4 linked regions of the Caenorhabditis elegans genome follow. The protein of the gene in region 1 purifies or fractionates together with the protein of each later gene. This does not show direct contact. Each region holds a gene or a part of one and is shown in the gene's direction. Other genes may lie near its edges.

What was found.
Region 2: the proteins of hpl-1 (region 1) and his-24 purify together in Caenorhabditis elegans (affinity purification with western blotting, with the first as the bait; one study listed by BioGRID). This does not show direct contact.
Region 3: the proteins of hpl-1 (region 1) and T03D3.5 purify together in Caenorhabditis elegans (affinity purification with mass spectrometry, with the first as the bait; one study listed by BioGRID). This does not show direct contact.
Region 4: the proteins of hpl-1 (region 1) and rcor-1 purify together in Caenorhabditis elegans (affinity purification with mass spectrometry, with the first as the bait; one study listed by BioGRID). This does not show direct contact.

What each region holds. Positions count from the first base shown.
Region 1 is NC_003284.9:13,243,719-13,247,558, forward strand, and holds hpl-1 (Chromobox protein homolog hpl-1), read left to right. Parts: upstream 1-1,671; 5' UTR 1,672-1,709; coding exon 1,710-1,802; intron 1,803-1,877; coding exon 1,878-1,961; intron 1,962-2,014; coding exon 2,015-2,104; intron 2,105-2,156; coding exon 2,157-2,359; intron 2,360-3,032; coding exon 3,033-3,117; 3' UTR 3,118-3,326; downstream 3,327-3,840. UniProt on the Caenorhabditis elegans protein: Seems to be involved in transcriptional silencing in heterochromatin-like complexes. Involved in epigenetic repression. Probably does not act as global transcriptional repressor. Plays a role in linking epigenetic regulation with the innate immune response.
Region 2 is NC_003284.9:14,488,150-14,491,658, forward strand, and holds his-24 (Histone 24), read left to right. Parts: upstream 1-1,944; 5' UTR 1,945-1,989; coding exon 1,990-2,226; exon of another isoform or gene 2,227-2,329; coding exon 2,330-2,719; 3' UTR 2,720-2,970; downstream 2,971-3,509. UniProt on the Caenorhabditis elegans protein: Histones H1 are necessary for the condensation of nucleosome chains into higher-order structures. Probably does not act as global transcriptional repressor.
Region 3 is NC_003283.11:2,823,275-2,828,697, reverse strand, and holds T03D3.5 (CUE domain-containing protein), read left to right. Parts: upstream 1-1,862; 5' UTR 1,863-1,877; coding exon 1,878-2,017; intron 2,018-2,913; coding exon 2,914-3,064; intron 3,065-3,115; coding exon 3,116-3,301; intron 3,302-3,406; coding exon 3,407-3,567; intron 3,568-4,198; coding exon 4,199-4,592; 3' UTR 4,593-4,892; downstream 4,893-5,423.
Region 4 is NC_003279.8:23,747-28,606, reverse strand, and holds the start of rcor-1 (REST corepressor rcor-1), read left to right. Parts: upstream 1-1,825; 5' UTR 1,826-1,828; coding exon 1,829-1,874; intron 1,875-1,916; coding exon 1,917-2,017; intron 2,018-2,082; coding exon 2,083-2,236; intron 2,237-3,134; coding exon 3,135-3,334; intron 3,335-3,516; coding exon 3,517-3,678; intron 3,679-3,761; coding exon 3,762-3,956; intron 3,957-4,860. Other genes in the region: sesn-1 (Sestrin homolog), read left to right, coding at 202-327.

The sequences.
Region 1 (3,840 bases):
TCACATTCTTACTTTATTATATAGGTCACGACCCAAATTATTTTGAAAATTGAGCTACACGGCTGTAACTTTGGAACTATGGGTAATCATGTATGAGCTTTCAGATTTTCACATTTTCACTTGACAATATAGGTCACGACCCAAATTATTTTGAAAGGTGAGCTACACGGCTGTAACTTTGGAACTATGGGTAATCAAGTATGAGCTTTCAGATTTTCACATTTTCACTTGACAATATAGGTCACGACCCAAATTATTTTGAAAGGTGAGCTACACGGCTGTAACTTTGGAGCCATGGGTAATCAAGTATGAGCTTTCAGATTTTCAGATTTTTACTTGATTTTATAGGTCACGACCCAAATTATTTTGAAAATTGAGCTACACGGCTGTAACTTTGGAGCTATGGGTAATCGAATATGAGCTTTCCGATTTTCACATTCTTACTTTATTATATAGGTCACGACCCAAATTATTTTGAGAATTAAGCTATATGGATTTAACTTTGAAGCTATGGGTAATCAAGTATGAGCTTTCAGATTTTCAGATTTTCACTTGATTATATAGGTCATGACCCAAATTATTTTGAGAATTAAGCTATATGGATTTAACTTTGAAGCTATGGGTAATTGAGTATGAGCTTTCAGATTTTCAGATTTTCACTTGATTATATAGGTCATGACCCAAATTATTTTGAGAATTAAGCTATATGGATTTAACTTTGAAGCTATGGGTAATTGAGTACGAGCTTTCAGATTTTCACGTTTTCATTCAATTATATAGGTCACGACCCAAATTATTTTGCATCTTGAGCCGTATGGGTCTATCTTTGAAGTTAAGGGTAATTGAATTTGACTTTTCACATTTTCACACTTTCACGGTAATAAATAGGCCACGAATTAATTTAGCTTGTAAATCAAGCTATAAGTCTTCAACTTTGGGGATACGGCTCATTAAGTGTGAGCTATCAGATTTTCACGTTTTCAAGTGGTTAAATATGTCAGTAACTTATTTATGTATTTTGGAACATGGGCTAAAGGTTTGTAATTTTCGAAACAAGGGCAATCGCAGATGAGCTTCCAGATTCTCACGTTTTTTTAGATGATTTTTTTCTTCTCAAACCCCTCTCTTCTCAAAGTTTGTATCCATATGTTTCTTAATGAAACATTTTATCTACAAATGTTCGCAGTTTATGATCGTTGTTGTATTGATTGTTGTATGATTTCCAGGAAAATTGCACGAAAGTCAATTCAAATGTTACTTTTTAGCCTGTTTCATTAAGAATCTGCGCACAATTAAAAAAAGTGACTGTGAAAACTTCAGATGGTCTGGTTTTTTTTGAAATAATAGAAAAATATAGAAGAAAATCAACTTTGAGTTTCAAATACAAATTATTTTAGAAAATGGAACAGTGACCGTGAAAGAGTGCAAATTCGACTTCCGGCATCTCTTTAAATACAAGAGAGGCTAAGCAAGATGAAATAAAAAAATTTGTTTTTGTCGACAGTGGCCGCCGACATAGGTTTGCACCTTTTCACGGTCACTCTTCCATTTTCAAATCGAAAGACTTGTTGAAAACCCGGGCCTATGTCTCCCGCTTTTTTCCGTGCGCTGTACGCGTTTAGTCTGCAGTGCGGCACACTCTCTCACTCTCGTCTCCTCTTGTTTTTTTTCCACTATCGATTTTTGGTTTCAGGTGGTTTTTCGCCAAAATGTCACGTCAAAACCCTGTCCGAAGCACTCGCGGGAATTCACTCAGAGCTCGGGAAGCTCAGCAGGCACAAGATGCTCCGTTGTTTCAGGAAGTGAGTTTTTTTTAAATTTAAAATCGAGAAAAAATTGAAGGATCGGCAATATTAATGTGAAAAATATATTTCTAGTCCTCCAGCAACGTCTTCGTGGTGGAAAAAGTGTTGAATAAACGGTTGACGCGTGGCGGAAGCGAGTACTATATAAAATGGCAGGTTCGTACATTTTCGTCCTTAAAATGTTATTTGAACAATAATTTGTGCTTCAGGGATTCCCAGAGTCCGAGTGCAGTTGGGAGCCAATTGAGAACCTCCAGTGCGATAGGATGATTCAGGAATACGAGAAGGAAGCGGCAAAGGTGAGATTTTTCAAATTTATTGAGATGAAAATACATAGTAACAAAATTGCAGCGCACAACACGCAAACGTCGATATTCCCCACAACCGTCGACTTCGTCTTCTGCAGAGCTCCAACCATCTACCAGCGATGAATGGGCTGGGAAAACACTGAAGACAATTATTGGAATCACCAAGGCACCCGGAGAACTGCATTTCTTGTGCAAGTTCAGCGACGACTCTGTGCATTTGATTCCATTGAGAGAAGCCAATGTTCGGTAAATATTATCGTTTATAAAAATTTTAGTTTTTCCCTCTAAAATTAGCGACAAAAAATAATTCGGATTTGAAAGAGTCTGAAAAAGATTTAGAATGTTACAAAATTGAAAAATATGGTGAAAGTCGAAAGCTTAATATTCCTGCAAGCCTGGATTTTTCATGTTTATTAAATTTTTGTTTTTTTCTGGTATTTGACAGAAAATAAACAGGGCAATACTATAAGTTTAAAGCAAATCAAAAAATCTAAAAATGCTCACAATCGACTCTTTAACGTACTGTTAAAGTATATAAATGCATCCTAAAATTCATGAAGCTCTGCGGAACGAGCAAATTCGGCCTTCAATACGTGCTAGCAGAACAGCCAAAAATAATAGGTTATTTTTATAAATGGAAAATATGAAACCTCGAATTTCATGATGTAGTTAACATCTAAGAAAGTGCTTCTCGTACACTTAAAAGGCATTAGAAAAACTTGCCTTGAACGTAGTGTGATACTGTAATAAGTTGAGTCAAGATAAAACATTTGTCACGGCAAAGTAACTCGCCCCAAAGAACCTAAGTTGGCGCTATTCACAAGTCGCAAGGGATTTCTTGCAATATTCAAAACTTTTTAAAATATCGCTACTGCAAAGTCATCAAAAATATTAGTTTTCAATAAAGTGTGATTTTCAGTTTTCCAAGTCAAGTCATCAAATTCTACGAAACCCGTCTTGTTCTTCAAGGAGTTTCGCCAACCATCCCAGGAGGAATGAGCTAATTTAATTTCAAAAATTATATCGCACCCTCTCCCCTTCCCATAATTTGATTGTTCTCTCAGTACGTTTCGTGAATTTTCTCGCTGAGATTTCGTTGATGAAGGACTTACTCTTTGTTCGCTTCCCATTTTTCTTAACAAATTTTTGAACTTTTTATATTAAATTTTTTCACATCATTTTGTTTTTTCCTTTAATAAATTATTTAAATATTTGCTTTAGAAACAATCCTTTACCAGATAAACGAAAACGCACATTCTTCTGATTTTATGTTACCGTATCAGAAAAGAAAGATGTAGTTTCTATCTTCTCATCACGTGCTGGGATGCAAAAATGTGACAGGTTGATACATTAATACCGAAATAGTCAATAATGACCACGCTACAACGTGTTTTACAACGAAAGTATTTCTTTAAGAATTTTGTTCAGTTTTTAACAACTCATAATTTTGCTTCTAAAACAAACCTTTCTGATAATCTGACGTTGTCTTGTAAATTGGCTAGTTGTCTGAAAGCGCAACATTTCCTGAAAAGTTTAAATTGTTTATTAGAACCGTTTGATCATATAATTATTAGAGCACATTAAAAATATAAACACAGTTCTTTGTCCGTTTGAAAAAAAAATTTTGTTTGAATTGACTTATCAGATTTTTCACATTTTTAAAAAACTGATTTTATGAAGCCTAAATTTTGCAAACCTGTTTTTGTCAGAACAGTTCATTTTTGTTT
Region 2 (3,509 bases), 1.2 Mb from region 1:
TCCTGTAGATTCATATCGTACACTGTGATTAATGGTTCATTGTCGAGTGCTCCGATGCACCACACTGGCAGGTGCAATTGTAGAACAGACACATTCTGTTGATTGGCAGGGTGTAGTAAAATCGTGAATAGTGGTTTTGGCACAGTGCCAACTGTGGAGAATATTAAAAGAAGCACTCCGAATTTGAAAGAATGGCATGTGAAATGAGAAGTACAGAATTGTGAAAAGAGAAATCGTAATTGAAAAGACAGAAAAGTCAGTGGAAAGACGACAGCTTTATTGAAACGCCGTTGCTTGAAATTTGAAAAAAAAAACTTGGCCGATTTGTTAAAAATATTTTCACAGAGTTATAACAAACAATCAAACTTTTGCAGAAGAAACATTCTGAACAACTTTTCCACTTACCTAACACATACCTGGAATACAATTGAATTTGCAAATGTTATGATAAACACATCAAAACTAAATTAACAAGCAATAGAACACATTAAACTCAAAATATCTACAAATAAAATCACTATATTGCACTTAACAACTATTTAAAATATTTAAACAGTTTCAAAGTCCGTATGTCGTTCTAAAATCCATTATCTTTGGCACACCCTGATGTATCTAGGTCATCATGAAGTTTGATGCATCTGAGTATCCAATACAATAACAAAAACATTTTCCTAAATCTTTTAAAACATTTTTGAAACTAATTTTCTTGAGTCTCAGAATATTAGATGTTCAAACTCTACAAGGAAAAAAAAAGAACAAAAGCACAACAAATAAGCAAAAAACAATTGTTGAGTGGATAAATCCGTGATGAAGTTTCATATTTTTAATCATGATACTTTTACATATGACTTTTCGTATTTGATCTAATCAGTTTAAGAATATAAAAATGAATATCTTATTTCCTATCTAATTTCCTTGAGAAAACACAACCTTTAAACATCAAAACCGTATTTGAAAATGTTGACTCAGCTTCCTTTTTCAAAAAGATCGGCAAACAATTGACCATTCTTTAGGTAGAATCTCCACAATTATGCAATTTTAAAAACATCACATCTTCATATCAAATCCTGACTTAATATTACTAGACAAACCACTTGTTGTTGGCAGAAAACAACGAGGAAGTGTGGCAAAGTGTATAGCAAGTTGATTTGAAAAATGACTTAAATTCTGATTAAATCACTATAAAACCAATTAAAGTACTGTTAGAACAACTCTAATATGCTTGTTCAATAGTTTGGATAGCCAAACTTGAACCTTTTGCAGTTTCTAGTTGTCTGAAATGGCGTGTTCTTTGAACGACTGCTGGCGAAGGCGAAAACAACCCCCGTTTTCAAACATGACCGGCGGCATGAAAAGTGGTATATCTTGGGTTATAGCCGATGGATTTTCAATATTTTTAGGTTTCTGAACAGCCAAGCATTTTATCTTTCTAATTATATAATAAAAACTAACAGTTGCAACTGAAACTGGAGAGAAAAACGAAGTCAAAGTCAGAAGTTAGAGTTACATTTTCAGAAAACTCAAAATTTCAGTATGAAGATGCTTTGAGGAGGATAAGTATCTTATATATTCTTGTAGGAAAAGTGTCTGGCTACTCATTAAAACAATTTTCAACTCAATATCTCTTTATTGTTAAAAGATATCCGTGTTTGAAGAGAGTCAGGTCGTGTGAAAACCAATGCGTCGACTTCAGGGCCCAATTACTCGGTCATTTATAATCGTTTTCTCTCGAATTTTGAGCACAATGTAGATAATGTCTTCAGCTATCAGATGTTATCAGGAAATTTCATAAAAATTGATCCGGAGTATCCAAATTGTCAGCGCCCGACACCTCCTCCTTTCGAGACCTGCTATCTTATTCGGTGCAGTAAGGGAGAGGCGGGATGTGTCCCCGCAGGGTGGTAGAAATTGGGTATATAAGAGAACGAGAGGACTCGCACAGTCATCACTTTTCAAGTGTCACCCAACCAACCAAACCGCCGTCGAACGATGTCTGATTCCGCTGTTGTTGCCGCCGCTGTCGAGCCAAAGGTCCCAAAGGCTAAGGCCGCCAAGGCCGCCAAGCCAACCAAAGTTGCCAAGGCCAAGGCTCCAGTCGCTCACCCACCATACATCAACATGATCAAGGAGGCCATCAAGCAGCTCAAGGACCGCAAAGGAGCTTCCAAGCAGGCAATCCTCAAGTTCATCTCCCAAAACTACAAGCTCGGAGACAATGTCATCCAGGTAAATTTCAATTCATTATTATTCTTAGTCAAAACTTGCCAACAATTTCGAATAATTTTATCTCACAGTTCTTATTTCTTTAAACTTATAATTTTAATTTCAGATCAATGCTCATCTCCGTCAGGCTCTCAAGCGTGGTGTCACCAGCAAGGCCCTTGTTCAAGCCGCCGGATCCGGAGCCAACGGACGTTTCCGTGTGCCAGAGAAGGCCGCCGCCGCCAAGAAGCCAGCAGCAGCCAAGAAGCCAGCAGCAGCCAAGAAACCAGCAGCCGCCAAGAAAGCCACTGGAGAGAAGAAGGCAAAGAAGCCAGCCGCTGCCAAGCCAAAGAAGGCCGCCACCGGAGATAAGAAGGTCAAGAAGGCCAAGAGCCCAAAGAAGGTTGCCAAGCCAGCTGCCAAGAAGGTCGCCAAGTCTCCAGCCAAGAAGGCCGCTCCAAAGAAGATCGCCAAGCCAGCTGCCAAGAAGGCCGCCAAGCCAGCCGCCAAGGCCTAAATAATCTGCCTTTTCCCCTTCTAATATGTTCCTACCTCTGTCTTCTATCATCTAACTTATCGGATCTCCTCATTCCCAATCCCCAATGACACATAGAACTACGCTAGTGTCCTATGTTGTTTCCAATTTCTTCCCTGTAAGTTCTCCGTGTTCTTACAATCTTCATGCTGGTATAATTATTTATCTCATTCATCAAATTTGATAATTTGACGTTCAACGTCTTCAATAAACATTGTAAAATTTAAAACTGTGTTCGGCTTATTTTTTTTTCTTAAAATTTCAGATTTCACGGCTCTTTTCTTAGAATGGTTATGGGCGGAATTGAAATTTAGGCAAATCGAAAGTCACGTTGATCATTGTTGAGTTGGCTGACTGTTGGCGATGTGCCAACAGTGGTGTGATTAACAGAAAACTGTTGGCCGCGTGCCAACACTGCGCAATCGTGAAGTCGTCACACACCAATGCGCGGTGGGTGGCTGGGTGGCCGCTTCTTGAGAAAAAAGAGGAGAAGAAAATATTGTGTAAGAAGAGGAGGGCGTAAAGAGCGCAACAAAGACATGTTCGTTTTATAGAAGCGAATAGTCGATGAAGAAATTGAACGGGTTGGAAACAAAGAAAAGGGATTTCCGACAATTAAGGCAATATGGATTATTTCGGCAGGGAAAAGGGAATAGAGAGGTTTCTTTATATGGAATTTATTCTGGCAAATATATAATATCAAGTTATTCAAGAAAGAAATTGTAAAAAAATAATGTTTTTAAATTTATAGTCGAAGCGGTAAAGTAGTTTT
Region 3 (5,423 bases), on another chromosome or scaffold:
AATCACGAGACCGTATAATGAATTAGATGCACTAATAAGATAAAAGCCAGTATACTATACATGTACTAATGTAGAGAACTCGTCAATGATGAGTTTAGTCTGGTGACGGAAATATGCAGATGTGAAAACTATAATAAAAGAAATTCTGAAAAAGAAATAAATTCCGTAATAAATTCACTAAAACTGAAAAATTGGCTTAAACTTCGACCAAATATGTAAAAATATAAAAGTGTAAAAAACGGTTATTAATTTTCCCGAATTTTATTTTTTTTTTTTTCTTTCTTTTTTTTTACATTTTTATGTTTTCTAGCTAAATTTTTTGATTTTTTCAAATGATTCAATTAAAATAAAACGTGAATCACCGTTTTTTAATTTTCAGAAACTTTCATTTTTCAAATTTTAATAAATGTAAATTTTCCACATGCCAATTTCAGAGTTTCAGCTATCTGTTTTGATGAATATTTCAAATCAAATGAAACAAAACTAGATATATAATTTAGCCGGAAAGTCGAAAATAATTATGATTTTGCTAGCTTTTTTTTGTTGTAAAATTGAAAAAAAAATTTTATTTAGAAAAAGTTTTAAATTTATTTTCACAATTATTTTCGGTATATTGGATCTGTCTTCAGTAATTCAAATTGGACTTTTTAAATTTTTCATTACAGGTTTCCGTTAGTTGTATATTAGATATGTACGTAACACATGTTCTGTACAAACTTGGTAGATGGCTAAGTGATCGATCTAATGTGCACCTGGAATAATGTACCAAGTTGTGGGCAATGAGAAAATGTGCAGCGGGGACCGCCTATTGTGTTTAATCTAATGATTTCGTCATTTCTGTTTTCCTCACCCGTATTGTACAATGTTTCACAATTGTGTTTAACACATAAGATGTTTTTATTAAAATAAATTATTTTTTCAAACTGTTTTTCGTTCAAGCTCCTTGAATGATCGAAAATGCACCAAATATGACTCTTAAAAAAATTTAAAAAAATTATCTAAATTTAATATTTTTCTAATTTTGCAAAAAAAAATCAAGTGGCTGGAATTATTTTTTTAATTTTGAATTCACGCGTGATCTTCATGTTTTTGGGTAATAAGTTATTATTTTGTTTTGCAATGTTAAACATAACTTATCACATTTTTTTTTTGCAAAAAGTGTTGAAATTTGAAGTTTTAGTGCATTTTTTACCAGTTATCAAGTTTTGTTAATAAAAACGTCAGAAAATATGACAACCGATGTTTCAGAAATTTACAAATAATTCGGTCTTTTAAAAAAAAAAACTTTTAATCATTAAAATTTTTTAATAAATTTTTACTGTTATAATATATTTGAGAACGTTTTCTGTCACACCTTTACATTTAAAAAACATTTTTTTTTCCTAGCATCTGTTAAATGTCTCCACATAAATTTAACTCGCAGGTCTCACATGGATTGTCAGATATTTTGGGCTGAGGAACACATTTTGATCATTAACAAAAAAAATCCTATTATCGATTTTTGCCTGTGAGCCACAATTATTTTCCCGCAAAATTGAATTTGAATTATCATCAAAATTTCAATGTTTCAACAAATATTCAAAGATTTTGTTTTCTCATTTCTTCTCCCTCCTCATTTCGTCCCCCTTCTCACAACCGCTTTCAAAGTGTGTGTCTGTTTTTGTGTCTGCGTCTCCTCATTCCCCACGCTCTTGCACACCGTTCACCACACTGCGCACACTCTCTCGCGTGCCTGTTCATTTTTTTTCAGAATACTTGGATTTTCGTCGAATTTTAAGCTTTTACCGCGTTTTTTTCGCCCGTTTTTTTGAGTAATAGGTTGAGAAAATTGAGACAATTCATAATTTCTAAATTTCAAAAAATTTTAGCGACAAAAAATGGAAATAATGCCGAAAGTTGCTGATAATGCGAATGACAACGTGGCTGAGCCTGTAAAAGAAGAACGAAAATTCAGATATTTGAGAAAATGGTCAAAATGGAACAAAGACACCTCGTATCACTTGAGCCACAAGCCAAGGTGGGTTAGAATTAAAGTTTACAAAAAATAATCTTGAAAATTCGAATATTTTTGGGAAAATTCATTAAAATATTTATTTATTCAGGTTTCTAAATTTATCAAGTATAATAATTTTATTGTAAATTTTAAAAAATTAATTTCTGAATAAAATAGACTTTTAAAGAAAATTTTCATAAAAATTAAATTTTTTTGGATTAAAATTTTTTTGTAATTTTATTAATTTTTGAATTTAACAAAACAGTTAGGAAACTTAAAGTTAATTTAAAAAAACTTTTCAAAAAACTCGGCCACTTAGGTTTAGGCCTATTCTTAGGCTCAGGCTGGGGCTTAAGCTTGGGCTTAGGCCTATTCTTAGGCTTAGGCTTAGGCTAAGGCTTAGGTTTAGGCCTAGGTTTAGGCCGATCCTTAAGCTCAGGCTTGAGCTTAAGCTTGGGCTTAGGTTTAGGCTTACGCATAGGCTTAGGTATAAGCCTAGGCTTAGGCTTAAGCTTCGGCTTTGGCTTAGGCTTAGACCTAGACTTAGGCTTGGGCTGAGGCCTAGGTTTAAACTTAGGCTTAGGCATAGGCTTAAGCCTAGGCTTAGGTTTAAGCTTCGGCTTCGGCTTTGGCTTAGGCTTAGACCTAGGCTTAGGCTTGGGCTGAAGCCTAGGTTTGAGCTTAAGCATTCGTTTAGGCATAGGCCTGGCTTATACCTACGCTTAGGCGTAGGTCTAGGCTTGGGTCTAGGCTTAGGCTTAGACCTAGACCTAGGTGTTAGCTTAGGCTTATTATTAGGCTTAGGCTCAAGCTTAGACTTAAACTTAGGCTTAGGTTTAGGCGGCGCCGGGGGAGAAAAAAGAACAAATGTTTTCGCTCGAAATTCAAAAAAAGTAATTTTCACTTATCCTTTTTTCTAGTGGTTGCGCGGACATTCCGGATTTCGAGATTAGAAAACCTTTTCAAGACGACGATTGCGATGCACCATACGTATTCCCATTGCACACTACACTTTCCCAGCAGGACGAGAGCCGGCTCAAACAGGAAACAACGCACTTGTCATTTGACATAGTGAGCGCTTTTTCCCTAATTTTTCTGGAAAGCTTAATTCGAAATTTTCAGGTTCTGAAAGTTTTGGCAAGCTGCAACTATGATGTTGATGCGACTATAGCTATGGCTCAAGAGATGGCTGCTCCCGATTTGATGTCAGATGCGGTGAAGGACATGTTCGTGGCAAATATTCCGATTGAGCGGGAGGCGAGGGCAATGAAGAATAAACCGTTCAAAAAGTTTTATCTCTCGAAAATGGTCAGTACTTACATTGATTCTTAAAATTTGAAATTTTTTTGATTCTCAAAATTTGAAATTTTTTTGATTCTTAAAATTTGAAATTTGAAATTTGAAATTTTTCAGCTCAAAAAATCCGTGGACACCAAAACGCTTGTCGATTTCTACTACAGCGAGAAGAATGGGATTGGTGGAAATTGGCGACTTGAGCATCCAGATTTTCCGACAAAAGAGGAGCTGAAAGCACGTGAAGAGAAAATGAAGTCGAGCAATATCAGCATTATTCGGTTAGATTTGGTTCTCTATACCAAATGTTTTTTTGGGATTTTGGAAATTAGGAAAAAATTATAATAAAATTTCCAGTATTTTTTAAACTAAAAATTACCAAAAGTTAGCAGTATAGTAGTCTTTTTTTCTAATATTTTCCATCAAAAATCAGGTAAATTTTGATACCTTTTCTGCCGTTTTTGACGGATTTTTTGACCCGACATATAGTTAGGAATATCTCGTTTTCCTTATTTTTTATCGCTTTCAAATATTTATGTTTATTTTTTTTTTCTGAATATTTAGGAATTTCTGGGAATATCTCTTTCCCTCCCCCATCTCAGCCTAAGCCAAAGCTTAAGCCTAAGCCCAAGCCCAAGCCTAATCGTTAGCCTAAACCTTATGAAAAATTCAGAAAAAATTATTAATTTTTTGAACAGTTATTCACTCATAGCAAACTATTTTCTATATAATTTAAGGCAATTTTTGAAAATTTTTTTTCAGCCAAAAAGTAATATTAATTATAAATTATGGGACAGTCAGGTCGAAAAATCCCATAAAAACAAATAAAATCAAAGTTCAAAAAATGGTGAGAAAACGTTTGACAAGGTTTAACAGTTATATTTAAAATAAATTAAATACCTATTTTTGTAGCCAAACTCCACCGAAGAAGAAAAATCAAAAAATCCGGCCCAAGAAAACTGGACACAGGAAGCGAATCGGAGGATCCAAGGAGAAGGATGACGTCCCGGCGAGTCCAGCGTTGAACAATAATATTGAAACAAAATCGGAAGATCCTTCTCCAGAAAATTCAAAAATCTCGACCCAAATGTTCACTGATTGGAAATATCAGCTTCTTCCGATCAATGAGGGCTCAGCGATCAAACAATTCCGACTAGTGGTTCCGAAGAACTTTCCATCGCCGAGCAACTCTGAAGCTAAACCGCCAAGGAAAGTCTACAAAAAGCGATCAATCGAGGAGCTGCGAGGCGGTGAAAAGAAGGACTATCCGGAAAGAGTTCGCAAGCCACGTGTTCCTTTTGAATAATCCCTAAATCTTTGATTGTTTTTTTAATTAATGCTCAAATTTTGTCTAAAAATTTTACTGGGTCCCCCTTCTACAAACAGGATATTTTTGTTTTTTGCCAGTTTCCGTTCTTTCTCCATTTCTGTGTTCTATTTTTCTCCCGTGCTGGTCTAAATTATTCTATAATTTTGATGTACTTCTGCCTCTCCCATTCTTGCTTTATTCTTATTTCTTGAAATTTGTTTTTCTTTGAAAATTTTATATGATATCATAATATCAATGCATTCTTTTAGTAGTTTGAAGATAAAGTTGTTTTCTTTTAATTTGGGAGATTGGATTCGACAAAATATAAGACATACGGTACGGCAAATACTTATTGACTCCAAAATCATTGACCACCTGTTCTCATTGCCTACCCTTGCTCACCCTTGCACTATATCAAAGGCAAATCTACTCAATTTGTTCATTCATTCAAAGGGTATACATATTTACAATCTTTCAATCTGTACACAACAGTTCGGGCAACAATTAGTAGTAGCTGAGTCATGTTTTAATTTATATTAATTTTGATAGGACTGATTCGAACGTAAAATCAATAACAATGAAATTTTACATAAGAAATTCATTTGGAGTCGGAGTTAATCACTTGTTTTCTGCTTTTGAGCATATAGGAACATGACGCCGTAGTATCAGACATGTCAGACAAGGATGCACTGGAGTTGATGGTGTGGCTTTCGATCTAAAAATGAAATAACCTCCAAAACTCTCTGAACTGAGTATTTTCAAACTGGCGTATCTCAAAAAATACACATCTGGAAAACAAATGTCCAACTAACAAAATGATCAGAAATA
Region 4 (4,860 bases), on another chromosome or scaffold:
GAAAGAAATTTTAAAATTCAAGAAAATCTTTAAAATTGGGTAACAAAAAAATTTGGAAATGTATACGGAAAAAATACGCTTAAAAAAATATATAAAATTTTCTACAAGCTTTTGAATTTTGATTTTTCAAAGAATTCAATTTATCTCACAATCATAACTTTTCCAGAAAATTTTCGAATCATCAAACTTTAATTTTTTCAGATCCACGTGGTAATGATGGTAGCGATGGCTCGTTTCCAGGCTTCAATGTTCCATTATACACGTGCTGTGTGTAACTATAATGCAATGTGCCTCTCGAAAAAAGGATGGAGAAAGCCTTTGGATTGATCAGCTCGCGGAGCTCGAAATACATATTTTTCTCCAATTCTTTCTCCGAATCTTACATATTTTGCCCAATTTTGTTAATATTTCCTATTCCCTCCCTTTCTACCACACATTCTCGCTAGCGTTCGTGCACACAAGTGCGCTCCACGGGCAAATAGTGTGCTGGAGCGCACATTTCCTTTCTAGAATACTTTTGTTCGAATTGTTCTGTTAAGTGAAACCAAACTCATATAATATTCAAAATTTTAAACAAAAAAATTTATAAAACTTCTTGTTGAAAATTCCAAAAAAAAACAGTTTTTGTTCAATTTTTTCGTCACAAATTTCAAAAATCGACATTTTTGAAATTGTCTACTCAATTTTTCGCTGCATTTTTTCACAAAACACTCCATCCATCACGATCCCCAGATTTTTACCGGTTTTTGCGAATTTGTACGCTTTTATGCCCAATTTAGTGTACAAATTCAAGCAGGGGTTTTCCAACTTAAAAATACTTTTTTCTAATTTTTCTTGCTGATTTCCTTCAAAATCGAGTAGTTTTTGATGGCTTTACTGACTTTTTTCCTGAAAATTTTAATTTTTTCTGCATATTATTTTTATTTTCTCGCTAAAATTCCAATTTTACAGTCCATACATGTTTTTTTTCTTTTTCACTAATTCTACACTCATATGAATAAAGCACATATTATTATAATTTTTCCCCTAATATTTGACATTCAGGAAAAAATTTAAAATTAAAAATATAAAGGATAATTTCTTTGAAACTACAGTAATCCGAGAGATTTTAAAGGCGCATATAGGATTCTGGAAAAGAATCATTTTGCGCATTTTATTTTTATTGGAAAAATCATTTTATAAAAATAATTTTAATGGGTGTTTTATAGAAAAACTATAGTATTTACGCAAAAGTATAGAAAGTAGCCTAAAAAATACAAAAATAATTATTTTTGCCTATTTTCAGCGGTTTCAAGAGTTTACCTAAATATTTGAAGCAGTTTTCCTCTAAATTTGAATATTGAACGCAAAAACACCAATATGTTCCCGAAAAAAGAAATCCAAAATAAACTACGAGAATCCGATTAATTCCTGTTTGAAAAACCGCCAATTGTACATTTGCGATAGAGTGCGCTTGCAGCAGTATAGACTCGCCCTTCCGCGGAGATTGATTCACGGTTTCAAATTTGATTCATAATAATTTTGTAGTTTTTTTTAAGTTTTAATGGAAGAAAAAATACATTATAAGTTTCATTCAAATACTAAAAACATTTTTTTAAACTGTTTTGTTCTTAAACTCAAATATGAATGAAAAATTACCGGAGAATCTGCGTCTCCGGGGTGACGATTCCTCAAAATCCGGAGAGCCTCCAAAAACAGATTTTTCAAAACTGTTTTTCTCATGGATTTTTAAAAAATTTTCTCGTGTTTCAACATAACTTCTAGTGTTTCGAATGTTTTCTCTATAAAGTTTGTTTAAAAACATTCAAAAATCCTCAAATTCCAGAAAATGGATTCGTACACGTCATCTGACGAAGACGCCTCTCGAAAAGAAAGTGAGGCTTATTATTTTGTCGGTTTTTCTATAAATTGGCCAGATATTTCAGACGAAGGCTTGAATATGTTGAATGCATCGCCGGAGCCAATGGAGGAAGATGATCCAGAGGAGCAGGCGGAACAAGAAGAAGAAACCAGCAGAGTACGGGAGAATTATCGATTTTTAAGCGGTAAAATTGAATTTAAAAGCTAAAATTGAAACTTCAGATGGCTCGTCCTATAAGATCCATGAGAAAACGCGAAACAACGTCTGGGGAATCAATGGGCGATGAGGATGAAGATTTGGAGGATGAAGAGGACGAAGATGAAGAAGCTGAAGCTCGTGAGCATCATGAAAGTGGTGCTCATGACACATCTTTCTGTTAGTAAAGTTCTCAGGCTGAAAACTGGGAAAATCGATGAAAACTATCTAAAAAATCTGAATTTTCGATAAAAATCGAACTTTTTCAGAGAAAATTCGACATTTTTGCCCAAAAATACTCTTTAAAATCTGGACAGCCACAATTTCTAATAAATCCTGACAAACATACCACTTTTTGCGAAAAATCGACCATTAATTGTGGAAATTACCGGGTTACGTTTCAGTGAAATTTGACGACTCTCCGGCAGAAATTTTGACACTTCTAACTACTGCCAAAATTTAGCAATCGATCCTTAAACGGCGTTTTTCGTCAGAGAAGGACGGGGCTGCGCGCTTTTTTACTGATTCTTTTTGCATTTAGCATTCGAAATATTCATCTATGTCCCATTTATAAAGCTTTATATAAAAGTTGAACCACTTCGTACGCTTGTAAACTCCGCCAGCCTCTGCGGAACAAAAAAAGCCCAAGGATCGATTGATAAATTTCGAGAATAATTTTCCGAAGAAAAGCCCAGAAAATTCAAATTTTCATTGGTTTTTCAAAAGAGAATTTCCGGTTTAAACAGAAGAAAGGACAATTTTTAGTTCGAAATGTAGGAAAATTCACGAAAATCGGCTGTAATGGAATTTTTGTGATTTTTCCATTTAGTTGTGCTAAAATTGAAACAAATCGGTGAAAAAACTTTGAGAATGCGACGATTCCTTCGATTTTCACCGGGAAAATCGATATGAAACAATTTTCTGGTTTTAAGCCGAACAATTAATTAAAAGTAGGTAATTTCATTGAAAAAAATACGACGTAAAAAAAGGTTTTATAGTCATTTCTGAGCTTTTTCATGCTTTTATAAATAGCTTGAAAATCCACTTAAAACCTTGAAAAATTCCCAATTTCTTCCAGCAAATCCACTTTCCAACGTCGACAATCTAATCCACGTGGGAACCGAATATCAGGCGATTATACAGCCAACTGCAGAGCAATTGGAAAAAGAACCGTGCAGAGATCAACAAATTTGGGCGTTTCCAGACGAAATGAACGAGAATCGGCTTACAGAATACATTTCAGAAGCTACTGGACGATATCAATTACCTATAGATAGGGTACGATTGGAAAAACACCAAATTTAGAGAGAAACGTCTGAAAATTGGGAGAAAATGAGTTTTTCTCTGGAAAAAATAACAATTGACCATAATAAAAATTCGAGATTTTAAAAAATCAAGCCTTTTTTTTATTTTTCGGAAATGTACTTTGAATTTGAAAAAAAAACTAACTGCTTTTACAGGCTCTGTTCATTCTGAACAAACAGTCAAATGATTTCGACGCTGCGATGGTTCAAGCGATGAGAAGAAAAGAAATTCATGATGATTGGACGGCAGAAGAAATTAGTCTTTTCTCCACTTGCTTCTTTCATTTCGGAAAACGGTTCAAGAAGATTCATGCGGCTGTAAGTGCATATGTCAAAAAAAGGGAATTTTTGAAAATTTAATTTAATCATAAAAAGAAAATAAATTTCATTATTTTTTGCAGATGCCCCAACGCTCGCTTTCTTCCATTATCCAATACTATTACAACACGAAAAAAGTGCAAAACTATAAAACAATGATTAATGTGCATTTGAATGAAACCGACACTTATGATGAACTATTCAAAGAGGTCAATCATTTGGAGAGGGTTCCGTCGGGATATTGTGAGAATTGCAATGCAAAAAGTGATCTGTTGATTGTGAGTTTTAGAAAAAAATTAATAGAAAAACGATTTGTTAGAAAAATATGTTGACTTTTTCCAAAAAGGGAATTAAACAAATACACGGCACGGCGAACGGGACATGGCCTAGAAAGTTGCGAAAACTAGTCCCGCGGCTGCAATGCTTTTTTTTTGTTCATGAGGTTGCGGTGGTTTTTCGATGTTTTTTCGCGTTTTTTTGATGTTTTCTCGTCGTTTTTTCTTGTTTTCTTCGTTAATAATTGAAATAAAAATAATATTTTCAGCGAAAGACCACAAATCGCCGCAAAAATCAACCGGGTGAGCCACGAAAAGGCGAAAAACGTCGAAAAGTGAGTTGTTTTTCTAAATATCTCAAAAACTGTTGGTCCAGATTTTTTTTAAAGAGCCTTTGGTAAGAAAAAATACATGGCGGTTCTGAATTTTAATGATTTAGGTGTACAGCATGGGCCCAACTTGACTATTTTTTTGAGTTTAGTGAAAAATCAGAACATTTTTGTATAAAAAATTACGTTCCTCAAAAACTGTTGGTCCAGATTTTTTTTAAACGTCCTAGAATATTGAAAAAATCATGCTGGTTCTTAATTTGAAAGATTCAGGCTTGTAGCATGGGCCCAAGTTTACTGTTTTTTGCATTTAGTGAAAATTCAATAATTCGAGCGAAAAATTATTTTTCTCAATAAAAATTGGTCTCAGAATTTTTGAAACTTTTTTAATTATACACTGAAATATGCTGATTTCAAATTGATAAGTTTTGAATGTTCAGCTGACGGATTTTGCAATTATTTTTTTCGATTTAGTGAATATTCACATTTCTGAACAAAAATTAAATTTTTTCGAAAACTGTTGGTCCAGATTTTTTAAAAAGATCCTAAAATATGAATAAAAGCATGCTGATTCTAAA